Daphnia pulex: one gene and its partner. The protein of the gene in region 1 interacts with the protein of each later gene in a biochemical or structural test. Links are inferred from orthologs where the notes say so. Each region holds a gene or a part of one and is shown on either strand. Other genes may lie near its edges.

Region 1 (3,670 bases):
CAAATTTAGATTAAGATTTTTTAGGTAAGTTATTGGACCGTTTTTAATTAATAGATAACACAACCTATAGCTAATGGTTCTTGTTGCTTTCAGACTTAATGTTTCAGCTGAAGTTTTTGTGTGACCTAGCACCTAGGTGCTTGTGACAATAGAAATCAAGGTAATAATGCAAGCTATGTCTTTCAAAGCATAATAGTTTCTTCTGTCATTTAATTTTTAGGCTAATTATAATATTTCAGGTTAACTTCCTGTGGTAAATCTTCAAGATATTGATTATTGATGCCTTCCCCAGATCCAATTTATTATAAATTATAAAGAGTTTCAAGTACAGTAGACAATTAATCAAGTACACAGTGAGAGATAAAAAATATTGCTTTGAAGTTAGAATGATAAAAATGAGCTTACATGTTAATAATTGATTGATTTTGCGCAGAAAAGACATTCACAATTTAATTTCACACCCCTTTCGCCATTTTATTAAGAACAATAATAGTACCACCACCATCTAGCGTCACAAAGGACAATCTTATTCAAATTCCCAAAGATTTGAAATTTGAATTAGAAAAAAATTTTTGTTGTGAAACAATAACAAAGAACGGAAGAGACATGGTAAAACTGCAGTGCAACATAATTCGAGTACGCTACTTTTCATTCCAAAAGGACTTCCAATTAAGTTTCAATTGTTGGAATGCAACAATAAAGATTAGGAGGATATCATTTTAACTAAACCGATTTATTTTTGTTCAAAAACCTAAACAGTCTAGTTAATTTTCGATTGGAAAAAAGAAATAATAAAAGGAAGGAAAAATAAGGCAGACAGGTGAACAGAAAGAATGTTTAAACTGTAAACGTTTAGGTAATATTGAGAGAAAATCAGAGTTTCGGTAGACCAGCTGTGATCTGACTTTCAATGCCACAATGATCTTTCCCACGAAGAAGTTTGATATAACCATTATCACCCCAGTCGGTATTCCAGCTGTTGGCAATAAGCCAGTATGGAACACCTTCCTCGACGCCCCATCCAAGAATTCGGATGGCGTGACCGCCGAGTGCTTTTCCATGTACGTGTTGGTAAACGCCTAATTGAGAGATCAGAATAGCGATAAAAAATGATTATAAAAAAGGCCTAATTCTTTCATACCTGATTTGTAAGTAGGAAAATCTTCGTAAACGGTTAAAGCTCCTTCAACTGGACCATTGTTCATAATCTCTAACTGAATGTCTTCCATACGTTTGTGAACAGAGTAAGAAGAAGCACCTAATTTTTAGGAAACAAGCTCTGTTAGTTAATTTGAATTGAGAACGAGAATAAAACCGGACATACCATAGTGAAGATCTTGCGTATAATCGACTGTATAACCATCTTCACAAGTCTTGAGGCATTTCGGGGTACCGCCTCCCTCTGAGCAAGGTGGACGATCACCTGTTGTATGATGCTCACATGCGGGAATAATGTACGGTTGGCATCCCTATATATGGCCAGAAAAACAGTAATTATTCACACCTAAAAATTAAGTATATCGACTTACTTGACTTGAGTTGTAATTGCCTCCAGTGACAATACCCTTCTTAACCCAGTGGCTCCAAGCAGCACCAGGGAAGCCACCATTGCATCCAAAGCCACATGTGTAGCAGCAGCTGACCAAGTTTTCGGCTGAGAGATGAGCATTTACTTCTCCCTTTGAGTGAATGCAAATACGATCTGACATGGCCTCTACAGCTCCAAAGGCCTGAAACCAATATAAATAGAAAAATTAAGAGACATTAAAATCAGCAAATTAAAAAAAATTACCCAGCAAGATCCACAAGAGCCTTGATCTCTAATTTCTTGAATGGTGGGGCAATCTGGCCATTGTTCCCGAGCATCAAAAGCCTCTGGAATAGCCTGGTTACTAAACATCTGGCTGACATTCTTCAATGGAGGCATGTACAAGTTTGAATCTGGGTGTACACCCATCATTTGAGTCAGGGCTCCCATCGGGAAGTTTTTACCAAAATTACGTCCAGCCTAGGAGGATGAAACATAAGTAATTCATCAAAACACAGTGTAAGTAAACAAGGGTCATATTACCTTCCATGTTGATTTCATGGAATTTATGTGATTGATAAACTCATCTGACAAAGGATTAAAATACTTGTTTGACTTCAACTTCTTGGCCTGGCTTGTAACCAGTACAACAGCAAAGATAATAGACAAAACTGTCTTCATGGTGAAACTCTGGAAAGAAAAAGAAAATTTCACTTTAAAATCAATTTGTGATGTAATAAAACATATATATCAATTATTACAAATATAAACATATTCAGAACTTTCAGAGCTTCCAAATGACTTCGTGTGAGTCTTAGACACACTGACTATATATTTTCTTTACAACCAAGAAACGCGTGTACCAGGGGGGAGGATTCAAGACGATAACATTTTTGCAAACTAAAGAAAGTGAGGGGCGTCACTTGATTTCTAGAATTCTAGGTAATGCAAAATAACTCAACAACATCTTAACCCTCATGACACAAATAATTTGATTTAATGGAAACTAAACTGAGAAAAGAGATGACAATCCCTGTTACCTTCAATTCCACTATGGGCGTCGCAAGCTACAAACTTGACTATTGCTGACTTTCAATATTGCTTTTACACTGTCCCTTGGAAACAAAAATACGCAGTAAACTGATTAGGAAAACGTAATTTCTCCTTTTGTTCGGATTAAAACCAAGCCCTATATTGACAGACAGGCCCACTACAGTGCATTCAATTTTGTTGCCATGCGCATTTAAAAGTATTGTCCACCAGAGGCGCTCTGTAACATGTAGACGTTTGAAAGACATCGATTCGAATGAGTCATTCTGTCAATTATTTGGGGAAAAACCGGAATACATTTCTAACCAAATAAAACCGTCTAACCAAGCCTGCACACGATTGGCAAACTCCCTAACAACCAGTGAACGGGGTTTTCCATTTGAAATGTCTCAAGGTAATTTAGATGTGGTAATTGGGGTAGTTCATGGCCGAATGTACAGGTAAAACTGGTTTTAAATAGCATTTACTTAGCGAAATGCGGATTAAAAATAGACGTCCCGTAAGACCGCAAACCTCCATGAAACGAAAGATTAAGCTTTATTCTTTGTTGGCTGACTACAGGAATAAAAGTTTATACGACAGGTGCACACAAAGTGATTAACCCCGATTAACCTGTGCTCACATCACCAGAAGAACATCAAACCTTTCATACCGCTTTTGCTGTCGACATAAATCAAATAGACATGATGTCGTATAAAATGGGATTTTCCACATGTTACGTAACAGTGGTGAGAAATCGTGAATCGTGAGAACTGCACACTCATCATATCGTAAAAGGAAACTACAAAGAAGGTGTCGCTTGATGAACAACAGAAGATTTGGTTCCAAGACGTTGGAACAATGGTACCACGAATAAAAAAAAGTTGCGGATGATGGGAAGAAATGGCTCGCTTCAAATAACACCTTAGATAACCTCAAGGACAAAAAATAGCAATAAAAATTGAGATTTTTTTACGATTCCCTTTGTCTTGAAGGTAAAACAAAATTCGATTCTATACATTTTCACAGGGATTTTATTTTTCATCTCTGGTGAGATCATGTAAGCGTCGATCGGCAACTATTCCGCAATACCACCTTGAGGGGTAGAAACGA
Region 2 (2,796 bases), on another chromosome or scaffold:
GAGATTTCAAAGGCAAGTTTGCTTTGATTAATTATCGTACAACTATATTTTAATTCCTTATAATTATAGGACAACGATGCCCTTTCATCTCGGCTGATCAACTTGAAACTACTCATTTATAAATCTGAAAATCAGTGCAAGTACAGTTTCCCATACTACATAATCCTCTCAAATATTTGATTACTGTGCAAACATTTAGAAAGCTGAAAGATCGTCTCGAATACCATGGAGTTGATTACCACACAGCTGCTGCTGCTGCTGCTGCAGCCAGTAATTATGCTGAAGCTACTGACTTTATAAGTGAAAAGGTATTACAGTTATTAACTTCATATTGTCTCATTTCATAATACTCTGCATGGTTTATTAATACAACTAGGCAGAAAATAATGTTAAATCCAGACCCAAACATATCAGGAAGAAACGAAACAAACCAAGCAATAACCAGAAAAGTTCAACAGTACCTACCGATAACAACACAAACCCTTTAAAGGCTTCAACAGCTGAATTTGAAGGAAATTTGTCATCATCATTCCCAATTTCAAAAGACGATAACCTTATTACCATGTAATCTCCTTAATTGTATTTCTACTTTAACCTAATAAATGTTCAAATTTCCATAAAGCAAAGTAAAGTCTTATGTGTTTATTAATTTTTTATGATAAAAAGTGCCATTAAAATATTGAATGGAAATATATAAGTTAAAAATATGTGATGGGATCTTCTCTAGTCTTGTCTTCTTGAATGGAATGAACAGATACTTCACGTTGCAGATTTTTGTATATGCGTGCATGGATGCATTTATCATTGCCAACATGAATCTGCAATGCAATAGGTAATTTAATTAAAAGTGTGTATGAGAAACTTAGGAAAAATAAAGGAATATTAAACAGTTCTTGACCTTGACAAAATAGTTGCGTCCAGCTACTACTTGAGACTTAAAAGTAATGGCTTCAAATACTTCAAAAGTTCCATTCATTTTTCCTGTAATTTGGTCTTTGACTTGTTCAACCAAAGTTTGTACTTCAGCAGTAGCAGGCTCATCGTTATCAGAGATTCCTCCTGTCATTTTGGACATTCTCTAGAGGTGCAAGAAGAAATCACAATTAAGAAAATTTGCTTTTTAATAGTCGAATGGATTATGTGCAGTAAAAGAAATCAAATAGAACATTTTAAAATACCAATATTGAGCTGTAAGGTTAAAAAGTGTAGCCTGAATCTGCTGGAGAGTGAAGACTGAGACAGCAAGACTAGAACTAGAAATAGAATGCGCACTTGTGTGTAACGTAAGGCTGTAGAATTGTAGATGATGATTCACCACAAGTGTTCGACGTTGATCAACGATTCGACTTGGTAAATTTCGTTGGTAAACTGCTGCATGGACGTCACGTCAGCTGATGAGTCAACGCCCGTTCTTTTGTTTGTTGTTGTCACACTAACGTCCTGGTTTGTGGTTTCCATAACAAAGCCTCCCCCTTTTTTTCTTCATAAGATTAATAGGTTAATATTTCAAGAAACTCCTAATCTTTTTACAACGCAATACCCAATACTGTTTTTTTTTTATTATTTTTTTTTCTAAAATTATATTAAATTAAAAAAATGCGGGAAAATCTTTTATTTTTGTAAATTCTTCGTTGTTGGTTTTTCACGCAAGATGGAGTTGTGTAGACGGAAGAAGTTGCATCGACTGCTGTTGTCTTTTGACAGCTACGATTAATTATTTACTATTTTTTATTTCTACTCCTTCTATCACTCTAACAGCGAGAATATTGGTCTATTGGAATAACGGACTTGGATGTCAAACTATATTTTAGGTAAATATTATGTGGAAAATGCAGTTCAAGCAGTTCTAACTCCACTATTTATTAAAACTTCCAAAGCAGAATTCAAACACAACTCAACCCAAAATTGGCTCACGGCTCACTTTCATTTTCATTGTAGGTAGCTGATTAGCGTAAAGAATCGACGTTACATATACCTATGTGGCCTACATGATGAAGTATCAAGTATGTATGAGAAATTTATCTTGAGAATTGGTACATCACAATGAGCACATCACTCCACTACCGCCACTACTTTGAAATCTTCACTCTCCTCTTTCACTTGAGTAGTTAAACTTTAATGACTCAGTATAAGTAAACTCCTTTACATTTATCTCATTTTCACGAGGGAGCTTAAAATATGAAAACGAAACGTCAAATCTAAAAACGCGAAAGCGAAAGCGAAACGTGAAACACGGAACACGAATTATATCATTTTTGAGACAGAGAAATTGGCAAAACCTCAATAGATTTGCGAAAAGTCTTGCGAAAAGCTTAGCGAAGCAGTAAAAGAAAATTGTGTTACGGTCTGACGGACTCAATTATCTTCCACATATTTTAATGAGTAACTTTCAGATTTGTTCTCATAAAAAAAAATTTCTTTACTCCAGGCTATGACGACAATTATGGGTTTTTAAAACTTTTCCCGATTCATAGTTTAAGTGCTTTTATAGTTTATGTAAAATTAAGAAATAAAAGAAAACAAGGAAAACTATTTTTCAGAAATCAACTGTGCGACGCCACTGCGGTCGTGCTATTTCTCCCTTACGTTCAGATCCGTCAAGTGAACAGAACAGGAACACATGGAACATGTTTCGTTAAATGAGAATTCTGTGGGCCTATCACATGTCCCACAAAGAAAACTGCACTCAAGAAACAAGTTTGATTTGTAAAAGTTTCTATTCATCACTAGGTATTGCTAATGAATAATTGAAAAACGACTTTTAGTTAGCCAGGGCTTTGTAGAAAATTTAGATTT

Evidence for each region.
Region 2: the proteins of cathepsin B-like (region 1) and cystatin-B-like form a complex in vitro, tested with the Homo sapiens proteins (2 studies listed by BioGRID). The link is inferred for Daphnia pulex from reciprocal best matches to the Homo sapiens genes CTSB and CSTB.

Annotation. Positions count from the first base shown.
Region 1 is NC_060028.1:8,221,856-8,225,525, reverse strand, and holds cathepsin B-like, read right to left. Parts: upstream 2,763-3,670; 5' UTR 2,569-2,762; intron 2,429-2,568; 5' UTR 2,302-2,428; coding exon 2,290-2,301; intron 2,219-2,289; coding exon 2,072-2,218; intron 2,009-2,071; coding exon 1,793-2,008; intron 1,731-1,792; coding exon 1,530-1,730; intron 1,470-1,529; coding exon 1,325-1,469; intron 1,259-1,324; coding exon 1,142-1,258; intron 1,080-1,141; coding exon 874-1,079; 3' UTR 715-873; downstream 1-714. UniProt on the Homo sapiens protein: Thiol protease which is believed to participate in intracellular degradation and turnover of proteins. Cleaves matrix extracellular phosphoglycoprotein MEPE. Involved in the solubilization of cross-linked TG/thyroglobulin in the thyroid follicle lumen.
Region 2 is NC_060017.1:5,653,574-5,656,369, forward strand, and holds cystatin-B-like, read right to left. Parts: upstream 1,427-2,796; 5' UTR 1,179-1,426; intron 1,079-1,178; 5' UTR 1,076-1,078; coding exon 899-1,075; intron 819-898; coding exon 699-818; 3' UTR 628-698; downstream 1-627. Other genes in the region: uncharacterized protein LOC124190305, read left to right, coding at 1-12, 70-140, 200-308, 377-568. UniProt on the Homo sapiens protein: This is an intracellular thiol proteinase inhibitor. Tightly binding reversible inhibitor of cathepsins L, H and B.